Arabidopsis thaliana: one gene and its partner. The protein of the gene in region 2 interacts with the protein of the main gene of each other region in a biochemical or structural test. Each region holds a gene or a part of one and is shown on either strand. Other genes may lie near its edges.

Region 1 (5,453 bases), on a different chromosome or scaffold from region 2:
TTTTCATTCTATATTTTTTTAAAAGAAAAAAACTAAGATACGCAAAAGGTAACATAATTTAAGTTGTACAATTTGAATTTTTAATTATTTAGAGGAAAAATATGTGTAACTTGGAAATTAATCTAGTAATTAAAAACGGTGGCAATGTTTATATTTGTGCTTTGCTTGAAAGAAATGGGACAAGGGGGCCGAACGTGTATATACGTAATTATGGTATATATGATGACAAAGTCTCACGGTCCATAATTTCAGGTTATACTTTATCATTAAATAATATTTTTCTAACCAATATAATTTTTTAATATATACTTAATTCGTTAAAGTAAAAGTTCATACGTTTTCTCTTATTTATTTTAAAAGCTAAGTTAGTGAAAGTGTGGTCGAGCTTTATTATATCCTTAATTATTTTCTAAATAAATACTATTTCAGGTTATAATCCCTCTTTAATTTTATTGAAAGCTAAGTTAGTGAAAGTGTGCTCAAGCTTTTTTTCATCCTTAATTATATTTTAATAGTACATTTGTTCAGGTGCGGTGTTGTGTGTGTTTCAAACACCCATTGTGACGGAAAAGAATAAAAGCTAACCACTCTTTTTAATTGTTTAATTTAAATTGACAATTTAGCATCTATCTAGCTTATACAACGCCAAAATTAGCTCAATACTTTTGTTTTATTTTTAAAAATATTATGTAGACTTTCATTTATGTTAAAAGTTATTATTCATAAAAGGACTTATGTGATTGGGGAATGTGGGTGAAAAGAAAAAGAAAAGTAAAAAGAATGAAAATGAAAATGGAGAAAAGAAAAAGAAAAAAGAAGCATAAGTGATGATTAAAGAATTGCACGGGAATTTTAAGTGCTTAATTACCCGCACGACTTCTCTCGCGTCTCTCTCTTTTTTCTTCCTTTCTTTTGTTAACTTATGTATCTTGTCTGAAAAAGTTTTTAACTTTAGTCTTTTTTCTTCCTTTGATTTGATATTAAGAACAGTAATTTATACTGTGTTTTGAATTAGAAGTGGTCAATTCAAATTTCATTATGGTTGAGACCATTTGCTTTGGGTCTGATATGTCATTAAGATTGAAGTTTTAGTTTGATTCTTTTGTGCTTTTTATTGGCATTTTGATTGAATAAACAAAACCATTTTAATCAAAATAAAAAAACGGGAATAATATCATAATATAGTACAAACATTCCAACTGAAACACGAGACGGGTCTTTTCTTTTATTTAGATAAAAACGTTGTCCAAGAGTTTTAGAAGAGCAATGACATCACAAAGTTTTGTTGCATAAAGATCCCAGAAGCAATAAACATAAAGGGTTGTTTAATAATCTACCCACAGTTTAGGAGCTGGGGAGATCATTACTGCACGCTCAGTACTTCGATTTCAAAGTCGAGAACAGAGTTTGGCTGGATCCCCCATGCCGGAAATCCACCAGCGCCATATGCGTAATCCGATGAGCACTGCAGAAGCAGATAAGATCGCAAGCCAAAGATGTTAAACATATAACGAAACACCCAAACTATCATGAAAGACAAAAGTGCTTCAACAGAGAGCCATAAAAGCATAGATGGCAAAGAGGAACATGATGAGAGAAGCAGAGTATACATACCCGCAAGCGAGCAACCTCTCCAATTTGCATTCCGATAACGCCTTCATCCCATCCTGTAAGCAAAGTTAAACAATCGAATCATATGATGTTCACTCGCCAAAAAAGAGGCAAATAGGTTCAGAGATATGATATGATTAACCATAAAACAGAGTAAGTAAGTTTATACCTTTGATCACAGCACCTTTACCGATTTGGAACGAGAAAGGTTTTTGTCCCTCGTCCTTTGTACTATAATGATATACCAAAGAACAAAACACAGTTAGGCTCAAGGAAATACCAAATTAAATAAGTCTTTTAAGACGAAACATATTGATTTATAAACTGAGTATGCGTAGATGATAAGAACAAGTAAGTGTAATTATCTTTTTATTGATCCTAGAATCAAAGCTTACAATAAAGAATTATTTACCTCCAGAACTTCTGGGATAGATCACCATCTTTCCCTGCCAAAAAAAACACACACACAAGAGAAATAAGATTCTCAAACAAATTCATTTCAATTCCACACAAGAAACTGGATTATAAGATAAACAAGATTCTTTAATTAAACCTACAAATAGAAAATCTAAACAAGAGATCTATTCGTATGAAGTTTCAGATGAGCAGACAAATAATCTCGCAGAACAGCAAAATTACAGATTAATTATGACCTAAGTGTTACTATCACCACCCAGAATAGAACATAAACCCTAATTAAATCTATTTCACATCATAGAAAACAAACAAATAGCGAGTACGACTACCACAACACATCAAATAGCTCTTCAACAAAGCAGATTTGTATAGATCGATTTAGCCTATCATGGAATTTTCAAAGATATAAATATGCAGAGGAAAGTTACCGAATCCGGTGCAATGGACGGTGACGGTTTGGCCCGGAGCGGGTTTGGGACCGTTGCCGGGTCTGATGACTTGCTTCTCCACACCCATCTCTATATCTTCTCTCTGTCTCTCTCACTGTTTCGCGTTCTTTGCAGCTTCGAATCTCGGAGTAGCTTTTGCCTATATATTTTGTTATTTATCAATTATCATGCTGTTTGATCTAAACCCTATCTGGGCCTAACAATAATCCAAAACCCAATTCGATGAAATTTAGGCCCATTATTTATTCTTTCTCAAAGGTGGATAATATAATACTGTACCAGACCGAATTAAGAAGCAGAATCTAGCCCAAAACTATTTTTTACTTCGGATTCATCAAATTCAAGCCCAGACTTGTAGCTATCAAAATTTCCTTCGCATTTTTGAAAGATACATGGTCAAGAAGACAGAGCAATATAGATACAACGAACCTTCTTCATCACAATTACAGAAAAAATGATTATGTAGATATCATGTTTAGAGCCTAAACGGCTAAACAGTTCCATCATTAATGTCTTAAACAAGCTTTTATGAACAGACAATGGAACCTTCACTGCGCAACTGGAGCGTATAAAAGCCAGATAACGTGCACGAATCACCTCTTGGATAGCTTCTGTATCTTCTAGATTCTGCAGAATACTCATTACAGGTAAGTGAGAATACCTAGCTACTATGACTACACAAAAAAAACTCTACATAGCCGTTTAGGTCTTTACCTTAGACCCCAGCAAGAAATTCTTGACAAAAAGCTTACTTGTTTTCCTTACCTTTCAAAGCATCAAGGATGAATGAAGCAAGCAATGTGTGTTGTCACTTTCCCTCTTCGTTTGTCAGTCCAGAACACAACAAGTTATCTAGTGAATGAACAGAAGCAGCAATTACGACATGGAAACCACCTATGTTTTGCAATTTGCTGCTCTATGGCCTTTTGAGTTGGAGGAACATAATTCTTTTGGAACAAAATGAAACCTGAGCAGGATAAGTAACTCACTTTACTTTAGATAAGGCATTTGGCTAGTAAGGTTTTATAGTCTAATAAACCCGAGAAAGATAATCTTAATGCCTTTACTCAGAACTCAGAAGCAGAAGACTATATACCAGAAAGCGACGAAAGCATCCGAATTTTGAGCAAAATAACATCAACAGATTCCAACTACAGGGATTCCAAGGAATCAAAATGCTAGTATTTCCACTACAGTTAAACATCAACAGGAAACATAAAAGCTAAGGCCTACAACAACGAAACACCCGCAACCTAAACAAAGAGAGGAAAAAGCCTTACTTCACTAAGTAGCCTTGATCTTATCATCTCCAACAACAGAAAGTATGGGCAAACTATTCAAGAATTCATCAAGTCCCTCAAAGAACCCAATCCCTTCCATATTATCTACCTCCCTGTTACTTCCGATCCCATTGCCTGCATTTCCCCCACCTGCCACACCAGGCTCTTCCACTTCATTACTAAACTCCACATTCAAATCCAACCTCCCCAGGTTCTTAGCGCCTGTTCCCATTCGTTTTCTAGTAATATAACTCCCTGGTTTAGACATAACCCCAGTTGAAGACCCAACAGCCGCAGCATTTGAAGCAATTGAAACCGCGTGATTGCTAGCACTACTGATACTTTCTACATTTTGGACTTCTTCAACTCCATGTTTCTTGTTACTTCTCACATATGTTTCTTTCCCTTTCCCAACATTCGTCTTCTTATTCACTTGTACCACATCTTGCCAATCACCATCATCACCAGCGTCATCTCCATCCGAAATCGCAACATAAATGTCATCATCGTCATAGTAAATCCTAGGAGGACCCGGTTCCTTTCTCTTCTTTGGTTCACCATCCAACTTTTGCAGAGGACAGGCAAAGAGAGGTGAAATAGGTGACCAACTTGGAGCTTGAAATTCACCGGAAAACCCCAATGGAAACAAAGCCCATGAGCAAAAGTAAACGTCTTCGTCGTCTTTCTTATCCACCGGAGGTTTTGGTATCGTCACAGCTTGAAACGCTCTTCTACATTCTTGACATTTCAAAGTACATTCTTCGTAAGCCTTAGGGTACTCAAAGAGTACAAAGCAGTAAGGGCAAGCGGTCCAGAAGCTCGTCGCCATAGGATCCGCCGAGGTCCCAGCCTGGCTCTGAGACCGCGGTGGCGGATATACGGCGGTGCTACTGCTAGGTTCCCACTGGAAATTTTGATGCGATTGGGTTTGAGGATGGAATCCAGATTGACCGAGTTGACTAAGTTGCAATTCTCGGTCGTAGAATGATTTCTTGAACGGATCAGAGAGAACGAACCAAGCATCGGAGACGATTTTAAGAGCTCGATCGGCGAATGGGAGACGATTAACGGAAGGATTGAGGAGAAGAGCGAGTCTACGGTACTGAGTCGCGACGTGTTCAGGGTTTTGAGCTAAACGACCGAGTCGGAGAACGGCGTACCAGTCTGGCAAGTTGGAATCACCTAAACGAGTCTCTCCGGCGAGAAGAATGTCGCAGATTGCGAGGATGTAGTCTGCAGCTTCTGCTCGGGTCGGGTCAGCTTCGCATGCGCGGATCGCAAATGTCTTTGCTCCTTGAAGATCACTAGACGCTAGAAGCTTCTCCGATGTTACAAGCCACTGATCCGCCTCCACTCTGTTACCACCACCACCGCCAACTCCGCCGCGTCCGCCTACCATATCCCCTATTTCTTTTTGTTCCCTTTCGTTTTTCCTCTCTCCCCGTTGAATTTATTTATTATTTTATCGGTAAAGAGTAAATACAGATCTAAAAATTAAAAGGACGAAAACATGATGGATCGTCAATGGGCCGGAACAACAACATGATGGATCGTCAATGGCATTTTGGTCCTTTTCATTTTATATAATATGTGCAATGTGATGGATCGTCAATGGGCCGGAACACTTTTTTCTAAATTTTTCACTTACAAAAAATATTAATAAAATAAGATGTAATATTATTCTCTTAGGACAGTT
Region 2 (6,730 bases):
AGAATCTGATTAAGGGCTTAGAAAATGTTCAGATTCTGAGCTTAGGCGTTGTTGACACGATGCAGGTAAGTGATCGCTATTGTTTCTCTTTAATATGTTACTGTAGCTTAACAACTAGTAGAGCATGAGGAAATTTAAATCTAGGAACCATTGAGATACTAAGATCATATCAATCTTGCTAGTGATTAGAATGTTTGCTCAAGTAATGACTGACTTAGTTGTTTTTAATTCTGTTTCAGGTGTTTTGTTTCTTCGAAGAAGCAGTACCAGTGTTTGAAAACCTGTTTCATTTATCACTTAGCACTGAAGTAGATTTCTGTTGGAATGTTCTACCAATTCTGCTTGAGAAATCTCCAAATCTAAAGACTCTCACCATTCAGGTATGACCTAAGACCCCCAAAAGTATATTGGACAAACTAAAGAGTCAAAATCTTCAATCTCAAAATTCCTGTCTTTTCTAGGCTTTGCATTATACTACTAATCACTATGGGGATGAGAACACTGTTTGCGATTGTTTGGAGGTGTATTCTTTCTTATCGTCCTGCCATATTGAGGTTCTAAAGATAACCCAGTTCAAGGGAGATATCGGAGAGATGGTGCAAATAAAGCATATCTTGGAGAAATTGCCGAGTCTTGAGCTGTTGGAAATTCATGGTCAGGTAAAAGGAGATGACAAAAAGCTGCAGATCATGTTGGATCTCCTAATGTTCGAAAGAGCTTCGTCTGAATGCAAAGTCGAGGTCAAGTTTCCAGTTTGTTTTGCCTCAGCATGAACTTCCATATCTGATAAGAGAAACAAATGAGCTTCCGGTTTGTTGTTGACATGAGAGCTGGTTTGTTTAGTGTCTTTCTTATCCATGCAATTTCTGTATATAACAGCTTGACATTTTTGTCATCTTTGGCTCCTTGTTGTGTCGTTTCTTCGTGCCTAATTCACTTGAGTTTGTAAGAGAGATGCTATAGCTATTAGCTATCAGCTACGTTAGGTCTACTATGACTCATTTGTGCTGTATGTTATTGTTACTTTACAGTTTACACAGTCTATTTGACAATTTGGTAAATGGGATATGATTTGACTGATGTTGTTTGTTTCGGCTCTAGTAACATTGTAGTTTATATGTTTTATCAACGAGCTAAAAATATCTCAGTATATGCAATGCGCAGAGAACTAGAACAAAGCTTGATTTAAAAAAGAAACACATCATAAACCAACATACACAAGAACTAGATGATTATGGCTACAAGAGACTAAAGTTGTTATATAGATTGTGTCCAGAGATACAAATACAATACACACGAAGTCATTAAGCATTGACACTCAATTGTTACAAAACCCGAAACCATCACACATAAACGTAGCCATAGTCAGATAATGAGAAGAGAAACACAAATACGTAGCCATAGACAGATAATGAGCAGAGAAATATAGTTGAATCTCTTTTTTTTCACCTAGTAAATAATGAAATTGCTAACAAAAAAGGGATTTTATTTGTATTTTAGTCAAATAAGTAATCTACATAGTATTTTTGCAAAATTTTTTGTCGGGATGCATTTAGATCAATTTGGTATCCGCCCATTTTAATAATTTTGTTCATTGAGTCTTAGTTGGGTCGGTTCAAATAAAACTCGATTCTAGACCTGTTTTAAAAACTTTTACAACGGATATTTCCAGATTAAACAATATTAATAATTAGAAGATTTGGTTAACATTTAAAACTATAAATCTTCTTTCATCTTTGTTTGAATTTTTTAACTGTTTTAAATCAATATATAAAATTAAAAATAAATCTCAAGTTTTTATCCTACATATATTGTGATTCGAAATTTTAAAAATGGACATATGTTATCTAATGGACGAAAAATGTGTGGGTTCACGGTTCACCGTTTCACATCAGCTAAAATTAAACAATGATTTAAAATCATATCATAAATAAGTTCAACATTAATAAAATAAATAGGTTTTTTGGCTAGACGAATTTAACGAAACGGGTTTTTAAATCAACATTAATAAAAAAGTAATATATCATTAATTCACTGTTTTAATACAGATTAAATCCTTAATTTATTATTTTTAACACCACCAATATTAAACATATCAAATCAGTTTGAATAGAAAATATTGTATAAAACAAAAAAAAATGTTCCGTACTATAATGTTACTTAATAACAATTATAAATTATAAAATATAAATATTTCAAAAAATAATATAATTTGTAAACTTTTATCCATAATAAATAGCCATTAAAATTTAAAAATTACTATTTTTAGAAAACAAATTACGAATTAGAATAAGAAATTACAGAACATGATATATTTTGGAACAGAATAATATGGCGAACGATTTTGAATAAATATTTTTAAAATTTTAAATAATATTAATATGCCATTTTAATACTAGTTAAATCTTCAATTTACTATTTACGATTGTCTCCTGAACACCTGTTATACCATTAGTAAAAAAACGGATCCATGACCGATTGACCACGTTCTCGTCTTCCCCCAAATCTAAAACCCTAAATTCTCAATTGCTCGTCACACTTCGTCACTCCACCAGCGACAATCGCCGCAGAAACCTCTACGAAACTTGCTACAATGGAGTTTTCATCACAAGACGACGATTTTGGAGGAGACGATTCCGCTGCTAATGCCACCAGGGCTTCAGGTCCCGACATTAATGGATTTCTCTTAATTCATGGTTTTTGTTTAAGGTTGGATTGGACATTAATTTCTCATCTGTATCATTCAGGTAATAGAAGAAGCTTCGGTGATCTTGAAGACGATGAAGATGATATTTTCGGATCAACAACGGTAGCGCCTGGTGTTAGAACTGGGATGATTTTGTCTCTCCGAGGAAGGTTATTATCCAATCCTTTCTTCATGTATGAGAAAAATCTTTGATGTATAATTCTAACTTTCTTTTGCTTTTTCTCTTTGGCAGTCTTAAGAATTGTAAAGATGATCTTGCTTCATGTCAAGTAAGCATTGTTACTGTTCATCCCTAATCTGTTTGAATTCTATACCATTGCTGTTTATGGTTGCTTCGCTTTTGCATCTAACTATATCGTTTTGGTTAGAATGAGCTCGAGTCAGCAAAAACAGAGATTCAGAAGTGGAAGTCAGCGTTTCAGAATGAGTCCTTTGTTCCCGCTGGAAAATCTCCTGGTTAACCTCTCTTTCTCAATTTTGTTTTGTACATTTGTATATGCGATGTTAATTCTTGAGCATTCAATATGATTCTGTTTGGTACTTTTTTTTTTCCAGAACCAAGATTTTTGATTGATTATATTCAAAACCTAAAATCTTCTGAGAAATCTTTGAAAGAACAGGTTTGTACTTGAGTAATAACTTGTGTGTATATATCAATATGAAGGTCTTGATTTTCAAATAAGGTTTGGTTGTTGTTTCTCTCTTTTCAGTTAGAAATCGCAAAGAGAAAAGAAGCGTCATGCATTGTACAATATGCGAAACGGGAACAAGAAATGGCAGAATTGAAGGTAATTCTCGAGAAACTCATTGCCTACCACTTTGATTCCTGACTGATGCTATCACATGTTTTCTTGACCATTACATAGAATAGATGTCGCTAAACACAGTCTTGTATTTTGTATTTCTAGTCAGCTGTTCGCGATTTGAAATCTCAACTCAAGCCAGCGTCAATGCAGGTATATAGTTCTCCCAATGTTTTGATTCTGGAATAATTTATACAATTGTGCCAACAATACAAATCGTGAAAAAAGTTAGCTGTTGAAGTAACTTGGACTTTTCTAGGCATAGTCCGCTTTTTATGCCGTAGTGTACCTTTTATGACGGTCATCCTCGACCTTGATGCATGTAGAGGGAAACCTTTTCCTTGCCTTTTAGATTTCAGTCTGAATACGATGATAAGCGCATGTTTCTTGTAAACCTTTACCTGGCATCTGAATTATTAACAAGTCTGAATAGAAGAAATGGCTATAAATTTTGAATTGCAATGGTCATTTAGCAGCTTGTCATGATCAGATAGCAGTGTAGATTATTTATTCTTTGTTTACCTTTGTAGGCGAGGAGGTTGTTACTGGATCCAGCAATTCATGAAGAATTTTCACGTCTGAAGGTCTGCACCTACTCGTTTCTATTTACCCTTAGACTACTTTTTCATAAGGATGTATTTGTCGTAATATATCCTTAGATAATCCAAACTGTATCTACGGAACAAAATTCCGCTTTCGTTATGAATGGCCTGAAAGAATAATTCCTTAATAACTGATAGCTGACACTGTCGTAGTAGATACAGTTGAGGACGAACATTCCCAACTTTTTGTTAATGTACATTTGTTGCAGTTAAGTAAAGAGTAGATGAAGTTTGATTCCATGTTTCTATTATGCAGAATCTAGTAGAGGAAAAAGACAAGAAGATCAAGGAACTCCAGGACAACATTGCAGCAGTTACTTTTACTCCTCAAAGCAAGAATGGAAAGATGCTTATGGCAAAGTGCAGAACCCTGCAAGAGGAAAATGAGGAGATTGGGCACCAAGCTGCCGAAGGAAAGGTATAGTTTGTTCTACTCTCAGTCTTCAATCTGGAATTATATGAATTATATAGTAAAGCAGTAGTCTTCTTCAACCTTTGTAAAACATGATTCCCTGAAAAGGGTAAAGAAATTGATGCTTGCCTATGTTCATGTGGAATGGCAGATTCATGAACTAGCAATAAAGCTTGCAATGCAGAAGTCTCAAAACGCGGAACTTAGAAGTCAATTTGAAGGTAAGTCATATGTTGATATTAAGTTATAGCAAAGATTTTTGTAGAGTTTGCAATTTGGATTTGAGGATTTTTGTGGAATGCAGGACTGTACAAACACATGGAGGAATTAACTAATGATGTTGAGAGATCAAATGAAACGGTGTTGATCCTTTTCTCTTATCTCTTAATTCCTCAAGATTTTTCTTAAAACGGAAGAATGATTATGGTTTTGTTGGAAATATGTGACTTTGATAAATCTCAGGTGATAATATTGCAAGAGAAACTGGAAGAGAAAGAGAAGGAGATAGAGAGAGTAAAGAAAGGACTGGAAATTGTGTCTGAGCTAGTAGGTGACAAGAAAGATGAAGTTGATGAAATTGATGAAGATGCAAAAGAAGAAATTGCTGGTGGAGAATAGGAATTTGTAGCTTTCAAAAAATGTTTTGTACATTTTGAAGTTCAAAATCACATTTCTTCATTCGTTATCTGTTTCATGAAACAGAAAGTTCTAATCTTCATCTTCTATTAATATGTTTTAATTCGCACCATTGGTGTTTCGATATCGATATGTGGCTTCCCGATATAACTCGTGAAGAATTTGAACTCGTCAACTCACGCAAATCATCTGAGTAGATATCAGATTAGACCAAAATAAGTGAGTCCAATTAGTTTTCCCCAAAAACATTCACAGAGGTCACGACTTTAGGTTAATCTGTTGCAGTTGTCACGAACGAATTCAAAATCCAAAGGAGCGGGAAAAACGAAGTGACGTGGAAGTATCTTAGCGAAAGCATCTCTCTCTCTCTCTCTCACAATCCATCATCTTCATTAATCTGATCAAATAATAGGGTTAATCAAAAGTCCAGAAACCAACACAGTTCAATTTTACGAAACCTCTCAGAAATGGAGAAGTACGAGAAGCTAGAGAAGGTCGGAGAAGGAACATACGGGAAAGTCTACAAAGCGATGGAGAAAGGAACTGGTAAGCTTGTTGCTCTGAAGAAAACTCGTCTCGAGATGGACGAAGAAGGTATTCCACCAACTGCTCTTCGTGAGATCTCGCTTCTCCAGATGTTATCAACATCGATCTATGTTGTTCGATTACTCTGCGTCGAACATGTTCATCAACCATCAACCAAATCTCAATCTACCAAATCCAATCTCTATCTCGTTTTCGAGTATCTCGATACTGATCTTAAGAAATTCATCGATTCGTATAGGAAAGGACCTAATCCTAAGCCTCTTGAGCCTTTTTTGATTCAGAAGTTGATGTTTCAGCTTTGTAAAGGTGTTGCGCATTGTCATAGTCATGGTGTGCTTCACCGTGATCTTAAACCGCAGAATCTTCTTCTGGTGAAAGATAAAGAGCTTCTTAAGATTGCTGATTTGGGTCTTGGTCGTGCTTTTACTGTTCCTCTTAAGTCTTATACGCATGAGATTGTTACTCTTTGGTATAGAGCTCCTGAAGTTCTTCTTGGATCTACTCATTATTCAACTGGTGTTGACATGTGGTCTGTTGGTTGTATCTTTGGTTAGTAGTCTCAATTATGCTTTTATGTTTTTGAATTCGTCTCTCTGCGATGTGATTTTGTATTTATGCTGTTTCAATCTTTGAATTTGTATAGCTGAGATGGTTCGGAGGCAAGCTCTTTTCCCTGGTGATTCTGAGTTTCAGCAATTGCTTCATATCTTCAGGTATTTTGAATTTACCTTCCATTACTTCTTCTGGTTTTGTCCTGTTTCAGTGTGAATTGCATCACTGAATGATATGCTAGCTTACCAATTGAGAACAACTGATTCTATATAGTCCAGGTTTCTTTGACCAATTATTCAATGGATTTAGCATTCTTGAATAGAGACTATGATCTTTACTAATGGTTCCTATTTGGTTCATGGAGGTTGCTAGGAACACCAACTGAGCAGCAATGGCCGGGTGTTTCCACACTGCGTGACTGGCATGTTTACCCTAAGTGGGAGCCGCAAGACTTAACTCTTGCTGTTCCTTC

What was found. Proteins that work in one complex are often made in the same cells at the same time.
Region 1: the proteins of FIP37 (region 2) and FKBP12 form a complex in vitro, tested with the Arabidopsis thaliana proteins (one study listed by BioGRID).

What each region holds. Positions count from the first base shown.
Region 1 is NC_003076.8:25,733,447-25,738,899, forward strand, and holds FKBP12 (FK506-binding protein 12), read right to left. Parts: upstream 2,700-5,453; 5' UTR 2,545-2,699; coding exon 2,457-2,544; intron 2,058-2,456; coding exon 2,024-2,057; intron 1,843-2,023; coding exon 1,781-1,842; intron 1,668-1,780; coding exon 1,615-1,667; intron 1,466-1,614; coding exon 1,364-1,465; 3' UTR 1,144-1,363; downstream 1-1,143. Other genes in the region: EIP9 (Chaperone DnaJ-domain superfamily protein), read right to left, coding at 3,762-5,156. UniProt on the Arabidopsis thaliana protein: PPIases accelerate the folding of proteins. It catalyzes the cis-trans isomerization of proline imidic peptide bonds in oligopeptides. Mediates rapamycin inactivation of TOR protein kinase activity.
Region 2 is NC_003074.8:20,054,255-20,060,984, forward strand, and holds FIP37 (FKBP12 interacting protein 37), read left to right. Parts: upstream 1-2,409; 5' UTR 2,410-2,593; coding exon 2,594-2,663; intron 2,664-2,747; coding exon 2,748-2,856; intron 2,857-2,939; coding exon 2,940-2,976; intron 2,977-3,075; coding exon 3,076-3,163; intron 3,164-3,262; coding exon 3,263-3,327; intron 3,328-3,417; coding exon 3,418-3,495; intron 3,496-3,615; coding exon 3,616-3,663; intron 3,664-4,040; coding exon 4,041-4,094; intron 4,095-4,368; coding exon 4,369-4,530; intron 4,531-4,675; coding exon 4,676-4,745; intron 4,746-4,828; coding exon 4,829-4,884; intron 4,885-4,986; coding exon 4,987-5,142; 3' UTR 5,143-5,329; downstream 5,330-6,730. Other genes in the region: AT3G54160 (RNI-like superfamily protein), read left to right, coding at 1-65, 240-380, 462-773; CDKB1;1 (cyclin-dependent kinase B1;1), read left to right, coding at 5,628-6,255, 6,350-6,419, 6,623-6,730. UniProt on the Arabidopsis thaliana protein: Probable regulatory subunit of the N6-methyltransferase complex, a multiprotein complex that mediates N6-methyladenosine (m6A) methylation at the 5'-[AG]GAC-3' consensus sites of some mRNAs.